2 linked regions of the Notamacropus eugenii genome follow. The protein of the gene in region 2 purifies or fractionates together with the protein of the main gene of each other region. This does not show direct contact. Links are inferred from orthologs where the notes say so. Each region holds a gene or a part of one and is shown on either strand. Other genes may lie near its edges.

Region 1 (10,750 bases), on a different chromosome or scaffold from region 2:
GTGTGAGATTGAATCCCAATCCCTGCAGGATCTGATCATGAGTGGTTGATTTGGCTCCAAGAGCCAACAGGGTAAAGGCAGTGAAAATGCTCAGTGGAGAGAAGAATATATTGGTGGTGTTGGACTTAGAAACCAGCGTCCTGTAGAGATTGATGCCAAAATCAGCCATATAGGGGGAAATTCTGTGACTAGCAGAGAGTGGGTGTGCAGTGTCTTTACTGTCTGGTAACTCCTCAGCTAGGTGACCTGGAACCAGGCTGCACAGGCCAGCCAAAATCAGGCAAAATTTCAGAGAGAACGCCATCATTCTATAAGAGAACAAGGCCACGCAGTTTTAATACCTCTGCATTCAAATATCACTTAGACTTCTTTCTAGTTTCCAAAATGCCTTCCTTAGAATTGCCTCCATACTCTCCCTGGGGTATTATTTGAATAACTAGATCTATCCCCTCCATGTCTCCCTCCCACTTGCTAGGAATGCTTTAATGTTTCCTATTTATCAACCCAACAATTTGTTATTCATTTGGGTCACTTGTGTCTGACTCTTTGTGACTCTATTTAGGGTTTTCTTGACAGATACTGGAGGGGTTTGCCATTTCCTTCTTCAGTGTATTTTACAGAGGAGGAATTGAAGCAAACAGAATTAAGTGACGACTCCAGGATCCCACAACTAGTGAAGTGTCTGAGGTCAGATTTAAATTCAGGAAGATGAGTCTTCCTGACTGCAGGCCTGGGTTTGTATCCACTAGTTGCCCAATTGAAGTCATACTTCAGTTCAATTCAATTTCACATTTTATTATATTTACTAAAAAAAAATTTGAATATTTAATAATTTAATAAAATAAAATAAAAATATTATTAAATGTTTTCATAGAGACTTCGTATTCTTTAACAATCCACCATCTGACTGTAAGGAGATAGTAGTGTGCTTTATCCCTTCTCTAGAGTAATAGCATATCATTGCCTTTCCGTGTTTAAGTCTTGGTTGTTTGTCCTTACAGTGCTGTGTGTTCATCCTTCATTGCCGAAGAAGACCATGCCATCACAGAAATGGTGACATGATTTGCACTTGACTTTGTTTTTGAGTGAAGGAGGACTGTGCAGGCTACCAGCCTCACTTTCGCCTCCAGATTTATCTGAGTCCAGTGACCAGACATTCATCAGGATGACTGGAGATGACTAGGATGAGGCAATTAGAGTTAAGTGACTTGCCCAAGGTCACACAGCTAGTGAGTGTCAAACGTACTGGGGCAGCTAGGTGGTGCAGTGGATAGAGCACCAGTGGAAGAGTCAGGAGAACCTGAGTTCAAATCTCACCTCAGATGCTTGACACTCACAGCTGTGTGACTTTGGGTAAGTCACTTATTCCCACTTGCCTCATCCTGGGTCATCTCCAGTCATCCTGATGAATATCTGGTCACTGGACTCAGATGGCTCTGGAGGAGAAGTGAGGCTGGTGACCTGCACAGCCCTCCCTCACTCAAAACAAAGTCAAGTGAAAGTCATGTCATCATTTCTCTGATTGAATGGTCTTTGGCAATGAAGGACGAACACACATAGAGGCTTCACAATCAACTTTGGACACAAATATGCAAAAATCTAACCCTAAAGAAGCCCCCTCTATTTCTTATTTTCCATGAGCTTTCAGTGGTAGTAAGGAAAAGTAAACTGGGTGAGATTAAAGAGAGATTGAACAGTTATAACGAGTTAAGTGATAAAGAGATAGAGATAGAGGCAATAGATAGAAAAACACTGTGTATGAAAGTCTGTGACTAAAGTAAAGAATATACCCAAATAAATATGAGGAAATGTGAGCACCGTGTTGCCCCATAGTAGGCACTTAATATATGTTTATTAATTGAATGGTGCAATGCAGAATGCAGTAAGGAAAGGAATTCTGCAGACAAGTTGCTGTGACAAATTTGGGGAAAGACAACTTTTATCTGGGGTGGTAGTGGGGACAGTCAGGGAAAACCTATCAGACATAATGCCTGGCACACAGTAGGTGCTTAATTAATGCAGGCTTATTAATTGATTAATTGAACTTAAAGTAAGTGAAAGGAGAATTCTGTGAATAAGGTTGGAAAAGGAGATTGAAACCTTTAATAGCTAGTTGAGGGGAACTACAGCTTTGGTGCAGTAGAAAGAGCAGTGTAATTAGAGTCTCAGGATTGGGGTTCTAATCCTGCCTCTGATACTTCTTATCAGACTTCTAATTAATTCTCTGTGTCTCTGGGGAAATTACTTAGCCTCTCTGGGCTTCACTCTCCTCATTTGTAAATTGAGAAAGTTATAGGGTATGTCCTCCCAGGCCCCTTATAATAGCTGCAATTCAAGTTTGTATTTTCTGTAGGTCACACTGAGTCAGTGTATATTTTCTTTGAGTGAAGAATGAAACTTCCAGATTTATGCATTAATAATAATACATATATGAAGATTTCTATTTTTCCTGTTCTGGCCCAGAGGGAAGAACCTGGAGGAACATTGCAAAAAGGCAAATTTATTCTTGAGGTAAGGAAACACTTCCTTCAAAACTTTCCTCTCCAAAAGAGGAATGGGCTCCCTTTGGAGAAAGCAGTCTCCCTTCACTAGAGGCCTGGAAAAAGAGACTGGTTGATGACTTATCTAGTATATTATATTGGGGACCTTGGCATTGGTGAGGATTATGAATTAGATTAATCCCTCTGAAAACTCTTCTGATTCTAAAAGATGTAAATTCTGTGACTTAAATTGACCCTCTACCTGGAAGGTCTTTTTTTATCTCTGCCAGGCCAAATCATGTTACCTTAGATCCTACTTCTTCCAAGTTGTTGAAACCATAGTGATGACTTCTCCTATTGTGTTTGCTTTATCTGAGAAGATAGAGCAGTCAATGACATCTAATGGTAAGTCAATGCATATCCTGTTTCTACAACTTGTTTGTCTCAAAGAGAGAGGAAGGTAGTGGAAAGCATGTTGGAACCAGAAGATCTATTTTCTAGTCATGGGGGCTGCCACTCCTTCTTTCATAGAGAAAATGAGGAGGTTGGGTCCCTTTTATTGCTGAAAGTAACGGAACCAGAATCACAGATTCTCAGCTTCAAAAGGGACTTCAAAGCATGACACTAAGTGACAATTATTCTTGTCCTCATTTTGTAGAGATAAGAACCCATGATTGTAGAGATAATAAGTGTTTGAGGCTAGATTCTCTTTAAGACATTTTGTAGAGAAGGTGGCAACCCACATTGGTAGAAGTTTTCTCATTTGGGAAACCCCTACAATTGAAATCACAATAGTATGAGTGTCTAATAATGCCATGGGCAGGTAGGTGGCTCAGTGGTTAGGACCCTGGGCTTGGAGGACTTATCTTCTTGAGTTCAAATCTAACTTCAGATACTCACTAAGTTGTATGACACTGAGCAAGTCAGTGTTTGCCTCAGTTTCCCCATCTGTAAAATGAACTGAGGAATGAAATGACCAACCACTCCAGTATCTTTGACAAGGAAATTTCAAAAGAGGTCCTGAAGAGTTCTGCATGCCTGAAATGACTGAACCACAACAACCAATAAGGCCTGCAGTATCTACCTATAGAGCTGTTGTGAAACTTAATGAGATAATATATGTAAGGCACTATATCAATTTGATTTGATTTATTTATTTGATTTATTGTTTGACTTGAGTTTTTACAACAACCTTTTAAGGTATATTGTGTCTATATTATTATTACCATTTATAGATAAGGAAACAGACTTCACTACAGAGGTCAGGCAAATGATCCAAGGGCACATGGCAAATGTCAAAGCAAAGATTTGAACCATACCTTGGGACCACAAGTTCAGCATTCTTTTTCTCATGGTAGACTGCCAAATAAAAGCAAGTTCTTCATAATCTGTTATTTTTTAAAAAGCTGCCTCAAGACCTTCTTGACAAAGGCTAAAACCTAGTTTGATTGGCTGGTTGTCACAAAGCCATGGCTATGATTATTCCTTCTGAGGGACCATGAACATAGGTCTTCTTCTTCCCCCTTTCTTTGGGAAGGTCTAGTTTTCTTTCAAAGAACTGAAATTCAGTCACTGTATATTCCGTTCTCCCTCACTTCCCTGAGGATTCCAAGCCCACCAGCTCTAGTGCAGACCACAGAGATTGAGGTTTTTAACAGGGGAATACATTACTTACCTCTCCTTCTCCAGAGTCCTGCAGTAACTCACCAGGAAGCTGACCCAGAACCTCTTGTTTCCTAGGGTGTTATTTAAATAGCTAAGTAGTTATGGAAAGGGGTGGATGAGACTCTTCTTCCAGTGAACATTAACTAGCATAACTGGTTATTTGTACAGAACAAACAATGACTAAGTCTGTTTGTCCATTTGTAATCTTGTTCCTTTCCATGCTCTTGCCATTCTCTCACAGTATCAGTTGGGGTGCAAGACGATTCTTCTTCTCATTATCCAAGGGAAATCTTTGACATTAAGTTTCTTGTCTTTTAAACTTATGTTCTTTGGACACAAGATCTTCCTAAAGTTCTAACATGTGTATCTAAATCCACTTTTAAGTGAATGGAGTGGGAAGATTCATATCCACTCTGGAAGAATTCCTACTTTTATTTTGCCTGTCTCCAAATCAGAAACTTCTAATGACTTCATTGGCCTTTGGAGAATGCCTCAGTAACATGTGACACTGAAAGGCTTCATAATCTGACCTCAATCTATGTAGATAGAGGTGTAGAGACACTTTCCTTTTTTTTTTTGGATAGAACAATCACTTCCCCTTCCCCATAGTCCTGTCACTGGAAAACCCACAGAAGCAAAAACATGGTTATATAAAAATATCTAACATAATAATTAGGAGTGATATCACATTTAACATTAAAGTGTAATAATTCCTCATTTTTTTTACAGAAAGAAGAGACATTTCTTTTCAAAATCAACCAGTTAGAATTAACACTGGTCATTATGTTCAGCCTGAATTCTGTTGTTTTTCTTTTATCTTTATTCACACATTTGGGGTTTAACCTATCTCTTTTGCATAATCAAAGCAAATTTTCTCTCCTAAAAGGCAGGTGGACCTACCTAAGGCAGAAATATCACCTGTAAGTAGAGTGGGACTCTGTCAACAAAACCCCATTGGGTGTGAAGGGAGGTTGCTAAGTTTAGGTTCTTATTTCTCTGAGATGCAGCCACAGATCCTGAGGTAGCTGAGATGGGCTGCTACAAAGTTTTTACTCCTGGTAACTGTCTGTCCAGGCTGCATACAAGCTCCTCATCAGAGATCTGATAATCTGGTTTTAGTCTGGAGATGGGATCACAGGGTGTTTCAGTCTTGTGTCATGAATATTAACTGAAACCTTAACAGGAACTTCAGGTCTTCAAAACTTTGAAGTGCTGTGAGGTAGAAAAAAAATAGATATTTTTTTCTGAGTAATTCCATATAGCAATTGGGGATAGTAGTGGTGAGAAATTATGAGCGCAAACTTTGCTTGAAAAGAACTTCCTAGTAGACAGAGGTGTTCCACAGTAAGTAGCTTGACAGAACTGATATCCAGAGAAATCTTGAAAGGGTAGAAAGAGGTGTCATATCTAAAGATGAAATCTAATTGATGTGAATATAAAATCTTACACTTGGGTTTTTTTAAAAAACCAATTTCAGAAAGAGAAAACAAAGAAAGATATGGCTAAAGACCATTTCTTGTGGGAAACATGGGACACCTGAGTGCGATACAAGCTTAATATGATGTAGCAGTGGAACATGAAAGCCCCTAATGGCAGTGTAAATTTAGGCTGCTTTAACAGAGGCTTAATATCCAGAACAAAGGAATTGATATTTCAATTGTTGTACCCTGCTCTGGTCAAAATTCTGGAGGATTGATCTGGGCACCACATTTTAGGAAGCTAAGAGTAAAACTGGAAAACATCCAGGTAGTCTGTCAATGAAAATATTTATTAATCTCTTCCCATGTGCCAAACACTGTCCTAATACAAAGAAAGGCAAAAGACAGTCATTGCTCTCAAGGAGTTCACAGTCAAATGGGACGAGAACTTGCAAAGAACAATGCACAAACACACTATATATGGGATAATTTGGAGGTAATTGATGGAGGAAATTTAATAGATTTGGGGGGAACTGGAAAGAGTTCCCTCTAGAAGGTGGGATTTTATTTATTTATTTATTATTTTTTAAAAATTAAATTATTTTATTTGTTTTCAGTGTTTGACAATCGCTTCCATATATCTTAGATTTTTTTTCTCCTCCCTCCCTCTCCCTTCCTGTGATGGCGTACAATCTTTTACAGGTTCTACACATACATTCCTATTAAATGCATGTTGCAAAGAAGAATTAAAATGAATGGGAGAAGCCATAAAACAAAACAAAACAAAATACAAAAGGAAATGGTCTCCTTCTATCTGTGATCCAATTTCATAGTTCTTTCTCTGGACGTGGAAGGTGTTTTTCCTCAAGAGGCCTTTGGAAATTTTTTAAGTCCTTGCATTGCAATGAAGTGCTAAGTCTTTCAGAAAAATTCCTCACACACTGTGGTTGTTGCTGTTTACAAAGTTCTTCTGGTTCTGCTCCTTTGACTCAGCATCAGATCATATAAGACCTTCCAGGCTTCTTTGAAGTCTTCCTGTTCATTGTTTCTCATAGCACAATAGTATTCCATTACATTCATGTATCATATACCATAACTTGTTCAGCCATTCTCCAATTGATGGGCATCCCCTTGATTTCCAGTTCTTGGCCACCACAAAGAGAGTTGCTATAAATGTTTTTGTACATGTGGGATCCTTCCCCATTTCTGTGATCTCTTTGGGATAGAGTTCCAGAAGTGATATTGCTGGGTCAAAGGGTATGCACATTTTTGTAACTTTTGGCATAGTTGCAAATTGCTCTCCAGAATGATTAGATCAGCTCACAGTTCTACCAACAATGAATTAGTGTTCTAACTCTCCCACATCTTCTTCAACGTTTATCATCTTCCTGATTTTCCTGTTAGCCAATCTGATAGGTGTGATGTGGTACCTCAGAGTTGTTTTGATTTGCATCTCTCTAATCAATAGTGATTTAGAGCATTTTTTTCATATGATTATAATAGCTTCTATTTCTTCTTCTGAAAACTACCTGTTCATATCCTTTGGCCATTTATCAATTGGGGAATGACTTGTATTCTTGTACATTTGACTCAGTTCTCTATATATTTTAGAAATGAGGCCTTTATCACAGACACTAGTTGCAAAAATTCTTTCCCAGTTTTCTGCTTCCTTTCTAATCTTGGTTGCATTGGGTTTGTTTGTGCAAAAACTTCAATTTAATGTAATCAAAATTATCCATTTTGCACTTCATAATGTCCTCTATCTCTTGTTGGGTCATATATTTCTCCATTCTCCATAATCTGACAAATACACTATTCTTTGCTCCCCTAATTTGTTTATAGTATCAATCTTTATACCTAGATCATGTATCCATTTGGATTTTATTCTTGTATATGGTATCAGGCATTGGTTTATGCCCAGTTTCCACCACACTGTTATCCAGTTTTCCCAGGAATTTTTGTCAAACAGTGAGTTCTTATCCCAGAAGCTGGGATCCTTGGGTTTATCAAACAGTAGATTGCTATATTCATTGACTACTGTGTCTTGAGTATCTAACCTATTCCACTCATCTACTCCTCTATTTCTTAGCCAGTACCAAGTGGTTGTGATGATTGGTCCTTTATAATACAATTTGATATCTGATAGGGCTAGGCCACAGAAGGTAGGATTTTAGCTGGTACTTGAAGGAAGTCAGGGAAGCAAGGAGGTGGAGAGGAGAAAGAGAAGCAGATTGATGAAGGCACTACAAGCCTCACCATAAGAGGAGGAGGAACGGGAGTGTCCTGTCCTGCAGATGACTTTAGAGAGAAACAGAAGCTAATTCCAGTAGTTGCTTGGGGCTCAGTGGCCATCACAGGGCAGCTATTGGACTGCAGTAGAAGAGATTCCCTTCCTTCTCTCTCCCTTCCCTCCCTCCCCCTTCATGGGATGAAAACTTTGCTTTCCAGTGTGAAGGGGAAAGGAGCAGAGGGTGAAGGAAAGCATATTATACTTATGGGCAAAGGCCTATTTTGTCAGATTATAGGTTGGGAAGCTGGAATAACTGTATTGATCCAAGGTAAATATTGACCGTAAGTTGAAATGAGAAGAAAGGATAGAGATTGTGATCCCAATGGAGAAAACCTTATTGAAGGTAGAGGATCAAGTTAGATTTCATCAGTTAAAATGTTATTAGACATGATCTGCTTTTGAAACTCTACTTTTTGCAAGAAGCCTTTTCATTTCTAGCTCTAGTGCTATTGATTGTCTCTAATTTATCCTGCATATATCTTGTTTGTACATAGCTGTTGCATGTTTTCTCTCCAATTAGACTGAGTCCCTTGATTCAGGGACTGTCTTTTTATTTTTCTTGATACTCCCAGGTCTCAGCACAGTGCCTAGTATATAGTAAGCACTTAACAAATACTTACTGACCAATTGACTCTGCTTGCTCCAAATGGTAGACCTAACAAAATCTGGTGAAAATTCCAGGGTTCAGTTTAAGAAAGTTTCTCCATTTTTGGAGGGAATTCCTATCCTAAAGCTTCATTGTGATATGTAAGGAATCTAGATTCTTGAAGGCTATGCCAAGAGAACATTAGTTCTGGCAAGTTCTACCATAATGGAAAGACTGGTGAGTTCTTTGTGTGTGGTAACTCATAAAACAAAGCAAAATATAAAGTGGCCCTCAGCTCTCTGCCTCATCCTTCCCACCCTCTTTCATTGCTACTGTGGAAATGGCTGAGGGTTGAATGGCAGAAGCTGGACAAGAGCTGCTAAGAGTCATGACATTTTTTGGACATCTATAAACTTTTATAGGCTGCAAGTACCCTGAATGTCAGATGCCTGTCATATCCAATAATTAATCAGGAGGAACTGAATCACATCAATCTCAACATTATTGCTACAAATCAAAATGGATGAAGGAAGTTTCAGTTAAATGGACCAATAATTCTCAGGGTTTCCTTGGAGAAGTAAGGAAAGGAGTTGGGAAATTTGCTTTTATTCTATACCCCAAAGAAAGAAGAGACCTCTTTTCATGCGATATTTAGTTGTCTCCTCTAAAATGAAAATTATTCCGGTGAATATACCAACATCTGTTGCAGAGGACAAAGTGGTAAAGAAATTCTCCAAAATACAAAACTCTTTAAGAACTTTCAAACTAATATGAAGGTATACTTTGGTTGGAATCAGAAAGTTAGATTCTCAGAGTTGCAAAAACCTTAGGGACCATCTAATCTAACCCACATTTAACTGAGAATGCCATGTACAGCATCTTCTACAAGTAGTTATCCAGTCTTCCTTCCCCTAACTCTTGGGAGGAAACCAATCTTCTTTTGGGTGACTCTGGCTGATGAGAATTTTTTCCTTACTTCAGGTTTGAATTTCTGTGCTATTCTCCTTTTTCTTCTCTTTGGAGCCAACTTGAACAAGTCTAATCTATCTTTCATATGACAGAAAGTGAGTCAATAAACATTTATGTAACACAGTCTACTTGCCAGGCACTTTGCTAAGTGCTAGGATGCAAAGAAAATAAAATAGTCTCTGCCCTCAAGGAGTTTACCTTCTAATGGAGAGAGAGAGCATATAAATAACTTGGTAGATACAATACACACAGAGTAAATTGCACACACACATACACACATACACACACTCCCTGACCCCTAAGGAGAAGATGGAAGGCAGCCTGAGAGGGGGAAGGACTTAGCATCTGGGGGACTGGGTAAGTCATGGAAACCAAAGGGGAAAGGTGAAGAGGAAGAATATTCCATGTGTTGGGGATGCATAGTACAAAGGCACAGGGATAGAAAATAGAGTATTTGAGACATTTTAAACAGACTAGGATTGTGGATTGTAGAGATTAAGGAGGAAAGTAAGGTGTACAAAGAATAGAAAGAGAGAGAAGAGATTATGAAAAACTTTAAATACCAGAGAAGATTATATTTAATTCTGGATGTAATATAGAGGCACTAGAGATCATAGGGTGTGTGTGTGTGTGTGTGTGTGTGTGTGTGTGTGTGATAGAAAGAAATACACTTCAGGTAATCATCTTGGCAGACTTCCTGTTCATGTGACCAACAAATGGAGGACTCAACATTTTCTCCCACCCCTACTAAATCTTGGAATATCCCCCAAAGGAGAATTATTCATCACAGTGAGAGCAAAATGGAGCTATTTCTACAGGATAAAGAAGCAAGAAGCTCAGCAAAGCAATGGCCTCATTAGTTCAGGAGTTCTCCCTTAGTCCCAGCTTCCACGTTCTGGCAGGGTGTTTTGTGATGTGCTGAGCTTTGGGATATCCTCAGGGATGTTTCTGCTATCATATTCTCTACTAGCACATCACCCCATGTCCTCACAGCATTCTATTTCTTTGTTTTGTTTGTGTGTTCATTCATTTTTAACAAACATTTAAAAAATGTTGAGTTCCAAATTCTTTCCCTCTCTCTCTTCCCTTCCCTGCCCATTGAGATATCAGTTATACATGTAAAGTCATACAGAACATATATCTGTATGAGCGATGTTGCAAGAAAAAAACAACCCATAAAAACAAGAAACACGAAGAAAGTGGAAAAATTTATGCTTCTAACTGCATTCAGTTTTCTCTCTGGAGGTAGCTAGCATTTTCCTTTGGAATCATATGTAATCATTGGATTGATCAGAATAGCTAAGCCTTTCACAGTTGATCATCCTTACAATATTGTTGTTAC
Region 2 (10,026 bases):
GTAATTTAGGTTAACTGAAAACGGAAGTGATTTGCTATGGATTACAAAGTTACATGTCAGAGACAAGACTTTTTGCTCTGTTATGTCTCACTTTGTAATTCTTAAACAGTTAAATAAATGAAAGCCTTATTAACAGCAATAATAATATCAATTTTACATCCTCCCCTTGCCCCAGTCTGATAGCAAAGTTTTCACTGTATGTCTGTAAAAAAAGTGAGTCAAACAAGATTGTTCACTTTTCCTCCAGTGAAGTCTTCAAAAAGAAAATGGAATTTCATCACCAATATTAGCCATGCTAATGATCACCGGGAGAAATGAAAAGCTAGAGAAACATGAGGATGGTACAGAGGAAAAAAGAAATCGCAGACACTATATGCTACAAGCCTGAGAACACAGAGCAAATTACAAGTTAACGAGACGTATTAGTCTAGACTAGCACCTGTGGCAAACACATTTATGCTGCACCAAACCAAGTAAAAATAATTTACTTTTACCTAATGTTCCAAACCAATAAGCTACAGAGAAGAGAGCTGTAATTAAAAGGATAAGCAATTGATTTTAAGTTACAAATGGGAATGAAGTGTCAAACACAGCTCACAACACTCCTCAGTGTGGCTACAATCAGATTAATGTAATAGAAAAAATTTAACTGAATAAAAATATAACAGAACACAAATAATGGCAATATGTAGCTTTCCTAGTCAATATGCTGCCAGCAGAGATTCTTATGTACTTGGTCCCTGTTTCTACTTGAGTCTGACACCAGTTGCCTAGAGGATATCTGAGGTCTCTTCCATCTCTGTAACAGTAACAGGGTGGAGAATACAAAACATGATAAAGTAGAAACAGCAATAAACTGAGTGGCCCTGACCACTTTCCAAGGCCTCACTTTCTTCATCTGTCAAATGAGTAGACACTCAATAAAATTTTTCTGAAATTCCTTGGTGATGGGGGTGGGGTGGGGGAAACATATGTGAGACTTTCGTTTTCAAGAGTCAGATCAAGATATGCGTTGTGCCTTGATGAGATTTTAAAATCTGAATATATCTCTCTATACTCACATACATACACACACACACACACACACACACACACACACTCTCTCTCTCTCTCTCTCTCTCTCTCTCTCTCTCTCTCCACTCTCTACAGGTGATCCACCAAATAAGCTAGGAAGCATTCCTCTAGGAGGAAAGCCTTTCATAATCTGGTCCCTTCCTACTTTTCAAGTGTCTTACTCCCCTGAATATACTGTATGATGCAGTGACCTTGGCTCCTGGCTGTTCCTCTCAACTACACTCCATCAGCCTTCTACATATTATCTTCACTGGCTGTTCTCCAAGGCTTGAACACCCTCCCTCCTCATCTCCACATCCTGACTTCTCCAATTTCCTTGAAGTCTTAGCTAAAGCCCCACTTTCCACAAGAAATCTTTCCCAGTCCTCCTTCATCATAGTGCCTTCCTTCTGAGATTACTCCCAATTTATCCTGTCTATATCAAGGCTCCACATAGTTGTTGTATGCATGTTGTCTCCATCCTTAGACTTGTGAGGTCCTTGAGAGAAGGGACCATTTTTGGTCTTCTTTTGTAACCCTAGTGCTTAGCACAGTCTGGTGTATAGTACGATCACAATAAATGCTTGCTCTGCTCCCTGACTGACTTCTTTTCTTCAAGTAGGGGACAGACAGATGGACTCACCACGGTTTTCTTGGTATTCTGCATGGTTTGATCCATGCTTCAAGAATTTCTGAGTGAAGGACACAGCCAGTAAGAGAGACAAGGTGGGGTACGGTATACTAGGAGTCATCCTGAAAGTGACTGGCATGCAGTAGCCTAGGCCCACTGGATTACATAAAAAATGAACTTTGGTTATACTAACTCAATTCTGCACCAAATGTTTGATAAGGAAGAATATAGGGTGGAGAAGTGAGTCAAGGGAAGGTGTTTAGAGAAGGTGTTTACATGTGACATACAAGTCTCCTCTTCACCTCCTTCCTAATTTCATCCCCTACTTAAGAGTCCATATTACCACTTTTTTCCTCTAAAAGCACAAAATGAGCAAGATTAGGTCATCAAATCAATCGGTTTTAAGTTGTTTTTGTTTTGGGGAAGGGGAGGCAAAGAGGAACAGAGCCAGAGATCCATAATATCTAAGTTTTCAACTCCCTCTCTACAACTTACAAATTTAAGGGCCATTTAGTAACCACAAATAGACTGTATGTAAGCACATCTAAGTGCCAGGCACTGTGCTGTGATATGGAGATAAAAAAGACAAATGTGAAACATTCTCTGTCCTCAAGAAACTTACATTCTAATGGGGAGAACAATATTACTATACTTATGTACGTATCTTAAATATATACAAAATAAAATAAATACGAGGTAGTTTTGGGAGAGAGTACATTAGCTGCCTAGGCCCTAGGGAATCAAGACAGGCTTTCTAAAGAAATATATAGTGGTCATTCACTATTTGTTGATTCTTAAAGCAAAAATCAAGAGAAACAAATTTGGTCATTAGCTGACAATGAAATGGTAACACTAGGTAAAAAGAGAGGAATGCCTTTATAACACTGGAGGTAAGAAAACTGACTATACATAGCAAGTGTTATATTAGATTTTTACTGTTGAGAAATACCATGATGTAATTTCAGGGGTATCAAATTCATGGTCTGAGGCCTGCAAAACTCCCCAGCGTGGCCTGAACCAGAATAAAACGTACTTGGTTAATGTTTAACAGAACATAAACACAATACAAAACAGATAAATGTTAACTGTGATTTTCTGTCTCAATATGCTGCTGCCAGGGAATCCCTTTCTTTTTGAATGTGACACCACTAGAGTAAGAGAACTTAGGTTCAAACCCCAGTTATGCCATTAACTAGCTGTGACCAGGAGCAAGTTACCTAACCTCTGAGCCCCATTCCTCATCTACAAAATGGGGATAACATTTGTAGTATGTAATCTAACAAGAGTTATGAGTGAAGTGTTATATCATGTCAGTTATCATTATATTTCAGAGAATGTGATGTGACCAACAGTAAATTAGAATCCACAGAATAAAAGATTCTACCATATAACTAGGAAGCTAGGTGGCACAGAGGATAGAGTATGTCTGGCATGGAGTCAGGAAGACTCATCTTCCTGGATTCAAATTCAGCCTTAGACACTTACTAGCTGTGTGACCCTGGGCAAGTCATGTACCTGTTTGTCTCCGTTTCCTCACCTTAAAAATGAGCTGGAGAAGGAAATGGCAAACCACTTCAGTATCTGCCAAGAAAACCCCAAATGGGGTCACTAAAGAGTAGGACACCACTGAACAACACCATATTAGTGCATAAACGTCTTAACACCTGAAAGCAGATGAATTTCTTCAAAAATGCTGATATCCACATCAGAATCTGATTTCTCCTGTGTATCCCTCATGATGTAATCACATCTGCTTTGAAAATTAGTGGCACCTATCAAAGATTTCTTCCAATGGAACCTTAAGTTGAATCTAAAGAAACTCACAAGACAAGATAAAATAACAAAGTGCCACCCACATTCACCCAAGTGAGGACACGGGCTCCCAAATAAGCCCAAAGCCTACACCTCCTCTCCTCCTTCCATCTGGCAACTATGATACTTTAGGCATCTGGGAAACAATCCCTTGGGAATTGTCACCATCTCTTAATTTCCTCTTTTGTGTCTCTGGGGCTGGAAGGAGGGAGAGAAGGAAGAAAGGGAAGAACACCGTAGTTCATAAAATCACCCAGTCTTCACTAATGCTTTACTCTAAATCCTGTGAATATAATCCAATTTAGGAACGTCCTAGACTACTGAGCAGATGACCCCATAACATGCGTTGTGTTTGGAAGATCTGATTAGTCATCAAGCTGACACGATTTAGGATAGCAAAGGTCCAACCAATTCAACTTCCTCATCTCACTGATGAGGAAACTGAGGCCCAATATGAATTAGGATTATCCAAGGTGGCCCAGATTTAAATCCACGTGTTCCAGTGCTTAAGTCCCAAGACTTTACAACACGCTGCCTCTCTGGGCTGTTATCCATTTTGATTACTTAGGCCTTATTTTACTGAACAGAGGAAAAGGAAATGAGTTAAAGAGCGAAAATCCTCAAGGAATAGAAAATCAGACCAACCTTTGACCTCTCCATCCTATTCCCTAGGACTTGACCCCACCCTACGCTCTGAAGCCTACGTTCGCACACACGGGACTACAAAGCCCGTGATTCAAAACGCGCCCAGACCCGAGGCCGCCGGGCTCCAACCGCCGCAAAGTCACCTGGTATTTGTAGTTCGCGCTTCCCCACCCCCTCGTCTTCTCCCTTTCCCAGTCCCGAGGTGGGCCGATACCTGGAAGTGGTAGAGGAAGGCGTCAGGCCAGAGTAAGAAGTAGCTTGGGTTGATGAGGCCGAGTTTGCCGACGAAGGGTACTACGATGGCGCCGGCGAACCAGTACCGCGTGATGATCGGGATGCTCCTAAACCAGTCCCCGAGATCCGACATCTTAGCAGCTCCGGTTCACGGAGACCAGCAGCGTCGCCGACTCCCCGCCCCCCCGCCCGCCCCCGCGATCCGCGGCCGGCCCCGGCTCCGGCTCCGGCTCCGGCTCCGGCTCCGCGAAGATGTGGAGGCGGAAGCCGCGGCAGGCGGCGGAGACAGGCACAGGAGGCGGAGACCAGCGGGTGCAGCCCCCAAGACGTGGCGGGGCCGAATTCGGAGGTGGAGAGCGGCGGGCGGGGTGTTCCGGGAAGGAAACTTCCCGTTCCAACTCCCGGGGCAACGCAACCGGAAATCCCACCTCTTAAAGGGGAAGCGCAACCTTAAGGCTTGGAAGGGCGACTGGAGGTGGGGCGAGAGGGAGAAGGGGCGGGGAACAGAGGTCGTCTGGAGCAACAACGTCAGATGTGCCAGCCAATGGCAGGGCCGCATTCTTTCCCTTCCCCCTCCCCTCCCCTCCCCTCCCATCTCCCTCCTCCCAATCTCCTGGATGGACCGACTTGTGAAAGGGCTAACTTGCGTAGATGAAAATGTGATGTGGTGAGAAAAGATCCGGATTGAAACTAAGGAGATTCTTGCAGTGGGACCCTGAGAAAAGCACTCATTCTGTGCCTCAGTTTCTTAGTCCGTGGGGACGAAATGGTCTCTGGTCTTACTAAGTGGTGCAGTGGTGCATTGTCTTGAAGTCCGGGAGACCTGAGTTCAGATGCTTCCCCAGACACGTGCAAGATGTGTGACCCTGGGCAAGTCACTTCACCCTGTTTGCCTCGGTTTCTTCATCTGTAAAATGAGCTGGAGAAGGAAATGGCAAACTACTCCAGTATCTTTGCCAAGAAAATACCAAGTACCAAATGAAGAGTGGACTGAACAATGTATAGGTATAGACATTTATATATATAGTTACATACATAAAGCTGCAAACATTATATGTATAAAACTAAATAATTTATATGTAAATATATAGTTATAAGTAATTATATAGGTATATACAACTATATGTAGCTCTTTGTATACAACTAGTTTCAAACATAACTACATAACATCTTTATATATATATAGTTACAAGTAAGCATATGTAAAGCTAGTTGTGAACGTATCTACCTATATTTATATGTAACTATGTAGCTCTAAATGTAAAGCTAGTAGCAAACATGTAAAACTATACAATTTACCTATATTTATATAGAAATACATAATTATAAATAACTACATGTAAACATATATTACCATACATGTATATGTAACAATATGTAGCTCTGTCTCTATATAAAAGTAGTTGCAAGGTACTGTATAAATGTGAGCAATTATTATCTGAAGCCTTATTAAATCACATAAAATATAGGATCTCAGGAATGATTCCCCTATCCTTCACTTGATAGCCAGTGGTCAGGAAGAAGAGTCAGAGATAAAAGAGAAGGGGAAGAAAAAATTATACAGAGAAAAGAAAGTAGTTTCATCAGTAAAATGTGATGGATTCTGGTGAACTACAAAAGCATTTCCTCCTTCCATAAACAGTCTTTAACTTTTTGTGAATTTTTCCTGTTCATTCCATTGGATTATACATTCCTTGAGATCAAGGATCGCATGTACTTGTCCCCTACCTTAACAGAATAATGGATCCTAGATCCAAAGGTAAATAGAACTTTAGAGGCCTTCTAGCCCAACCCTCTCATTTTACAGATAAGGAAACTGAAACCCTGGGAGATTTAAGTGACTTGCCCAGTCACCCAGGCATTAAGACTCAGAGGTAGAATTTGAACCTGGATCCTCTGAATCCAGAGTATTCATTAAATAATTGTTGGATGAGTATCTTTAAAAACAAGATAGAATCTCACCTCACTCTAGTCCTGTCCATTAGGATTTTGTGATGCCTTCATAATCCTCTTCTGCCCTATGTTTCTATGAAAACCAACCTGATTGTCTCACTGTAATCATCAACAGCTGCCACTGTATCTTTATTGTTACCTACCTACCCAGAAAAGAAAATTCTTCAGCCTTTTCCAGTAGCTTGTTCTGGAATTTAACAGCCTTTTCTAAAAGTGAATTCTTCTTATATCCTTGTCATCATCAGAAGTATTTACCTGTTATTATTAAGTTATGCGATGGTAAAGTACACTTAAGAAGTTGAAAGGAGAACAGTGATAATTAATGTCAGAAGCTTAAGAGACAATTTCTACTACATAATGGAGCAATGCCTAAGACAGGACTTTCTTGCCTCTAATTGATATTTCCTTGTGATCCTTTTGATAAGTAGTTTGAAGGAGGTGGATCACAGGAGTCTCTGATCAAATTGAAGAATTTTTTTTTAAACAACTAGATAATGAAGTATAAAGGAATTGCATAAATACCCTCCTAGGTGGCACAGTGGATAGAGTGCAGCTATGTGACCCTATTTCTTACACTTATGCCTCACTACTGTGGTCTAGGTTTAAGGCTACAACTCCCATGGAAGCTGTGTGTATTTGTGGAAAGGAGTGACCCTCCTCCTCCTCCTACTTTCCTTCCTCCACCTCTTCCCCTCCCATCTTTGGTTTCAATTCTTACCTAGCCCTTGTCATTTAATGGTTGTGGCCTCAGACAAACTGAGACCTGGGAAAGATCTTAATTTAGAAAGGCCAGGTTTACCCACTGTATTCTGAGCCATCACCAGTCATCTCTACTTTTATCTGGACTCTGATGACTCTGGAAGAGAGAGCATGGCCTCGTTCAAATCCAACTCATCCCCAAGTCAAGACATCGTGTTTGCGATGTCAGTGGTCCTCTCTGAGAATGAAGGACAAATAATAACAATAGCTGTGTGACCCTGGGGAAGTCACTTAACCCAGGCTGCTTCTGTTTCTTCCTCTGTAAAATGAGATGGAGAAGGAAATGGCAAACTATTCCAGTATCTCTGCCAAGAAAACGCAGATGGGATCATGAAGAATAGGACCCTACTGAACAACAACCAAGTAATTTGGTGACAGCTGAAAATCAGCTAGACTGATCTTGATGGTATAAAGACTGGTAGTCTTTAAAAAGCAACCCTGTAAGTTGCGGAGTCTGTAAGTTCTAAGTAAGGAGTTTACTCATCATTTTCCTTGGTATCTCTTTGGAGGGGTGGGACTCTTCCTCCAGGAGAGGGATTCTCTGTCCTCACCAGTGGCAATGGCATCCTTTTACAGAAGCACATGACTGTACAAAACTAAGAGGATATTGCTTTCTGAACTCCAGCTTCCTCTAGGATAAGAGGTTTTGAAGAAATAAAACTGGAGATGAAATCCTGTCACTAGGACACAGCTAAGGTTCCAGAAATGGGAAGGCTTTCTGCTGGTTCCAAGAAGGGATCTGGTTCTTTCTGAAAGAGTCTAGTAGTCCTGTAGGAATGGATTTCAGCTTCTCCAGAATTTGAAGGCATTGGAAACTATAGCTAACTAGCAGAGCAAGGGGCCTTCCTCCCTTTCCCCTAAATCATCAAGAAACCTAAGAGGTCCTCTAGTCCAACTTTTTCATTTTACAGATGAGAACACCAAGAAACAGAGAGGTTGTTAATAAATAACCTCGAATCATTAAATCAGTTTAGGTAATAATATAATGCAGAAGAGTTCAGATAAAGGTCAGGTTTAGCAATTAACAAAATGTTATTACTTCTCACAAGGAAAGAAGGAAAACAAAGCCAAAAAAGAACAATCTCAGTGTGTGGCCTTCATTGTGCAGCACGCAGTGGGGTAGTTTCTGAATGTGGAAACATGCAATGGTTTTGCCTACTGGTCAAAGACCTAGAGCCTCAGTGCACAAACTTTAAAATATAGTTTTATATGAAGAACCAGCATGGTATCAAAGACCACCCTGTAATCCATAGGGCTACATGTAGTTTCTTTTCTGACATCTCTCTCTAGTTTGGTGATCAAGACCATATTTGTCTCATAGCAGATATGAGACAAATATGGTTTGGTAGGATGCCTTCTTTTCCTCTTTTTATAGTTTACAAAAAATTGAAGTTAGTTGTTCCTTAATTTTTGTTATAATTTATTTGTAAATTTTTCTGGTCTTGGGAATTCCTTTATGGCTTTTTCAATTTACTTTTCTGAGATTGGGTTATTAAATTCTCTACCTTTTGTTTTGTTACTCTGGATCTTTTATGTTTTTGGAAATGTTCATCCATTTTATTTATTGGTAATATCATGTAATTGGGTAAAATGGTTTCTAATGATTTCCTCTATTTTCTATTTATCTGTTATGAATTCTTTTTCATTTTTTATTATGGCTATTTGGTTTTACTCTTTCTTGGTCAAATTAACTAATGGTTTGTCAGTTGGTTTTTTTATTTTTGGTTGTTTTTTTTTAAAGAAACAACTCCTAATTTTATTTATCAATTTAGTAGTATTTTAATTTTATTTCTTCTTTAATTTTCTGAATGTCTGTTTTGGAGTTTATTTGGGATTTTTTTATATGTTGTTCTTCAAGGTTTTTAGGTATTTTCCCAATTCATTGAGATGGTCATTCTTTCTCTTTTTTTTTTTTTTAATGAAAATATTTAAAGATAGAATTTTTCCTCTAGGGACTACTTTGATTACATCCCAGGAGTTTCGGTATTTTGGCCCATTGTTGGCATTTTCTTTGATGGAATTTTCTATGATTTCTGTGATTTTTTTCTTTGAGCCTCCAACTCCACAGGATTGAATTTCACCATCAAAGTTTAAACTCTTCAAAGGCCCTTCATTGATTATAGTTTTTTATTAAATTGTGGTTAGTAAAGAACATATTTAATTTTTTGCTTTTCTACATTTCTCAAGTTTTTTTACTCTAGCACACAGTTAAATTTTGTAACGATTCAAAATTATCATATGGCAAGACGAAGTTATCCCCCAGGAGTTCAAAGATGCCTCCATTGTCCATCTCTATAAAAGTAAAGGGAATAAATTGTCCTGCAACAATCACAGTGGGCTCTCTCTCTTAGCCATTACTGGCAAAATTCTTGCTAGAATCTTCCTTAATAGGCTGACTCTTCACCTGGAAGATGGTCATATACCTGAGGGCCAGTGTGGCTTCAGAAAGGGCCAAGGAACAGTCAATATGATGTTGCTGCCTGACAACTCCAGGAGAAATGCCAGGAACAGAACAGAGGTCTACACACAACATTTGTAGAACTGACCAAGGCCTTATGGAAATTATGTCAAAATTTGGCTGCCCAGAGAAGTTCATCAGTATTGTACATCAATTTCATGATGATGTTTGCCCGGGTTCTGGATAATGGACAAAGCTCTCATGCCTTCTTACTCACCAATGGAGTGAAACAGGACTGTGTGCTTGCTCCCATGCTTTTTAGCATGATGTTTTCATCCATGTTGTCAAATGCTTTCAATGAGGATGAACAAGGCATCAAGGTCGACTGATGGTAAGTTCTTCAATTTGAAAAGGCTACAAGCCAAAACCAAAGTGGAGGGAGTGCATGATTTTCTGTTTGCAGGTGGTTATGCACTCAATGCATCCTTTGAAGCTGAGATGCAACAAAGTGTGGATCAATTCTCTGCTGCCTGTGCTAATT

Evidence for each region.
Region 1: the proteins of DERL1 (region 2) and alpha-1-antiproteinase-like purify together in Homo sapiens (affinity purification with western blotting; 4 studies listed by BioGRID). This does not show direct contact. The link is inferred for Notamacropus eugenii from reciprocal best matches to the Homo sapiens genes DERL1 and SERPINA1.

Annotation. Positions count from the first base shown.
Region 1 is NC_092872.1:364,861,292-364,872,041, reverse strand, and holds the start of alpha-1-antiproteinase-like, read right to left. Parts: upstream 4,295-10,750; 5' UTR 4,156-4,294; intron 309-4,155; 5' UTR 308-308; coding exon 1-307.
Region 2 is NC_092875.1:121,380,963-121,390,988, reverse strand, and holds the start of DERL1 (derlin-1), read right to left. Parts: upstream 4,797-10,026; 5' UTR 4,509-4,796; coding exon 4,356-4,508; intron 4,350-4,355; exon of another isoform or gene 1-4,349. UniProt on the Homo sapiens protein: Functional component of endoplasmic reticulum-associated degradation (ERAD) for misfolded lumenal proteins. Forms homotetramers which encircle a large channel traversing the endoplasmic reticulum (ER) membrane.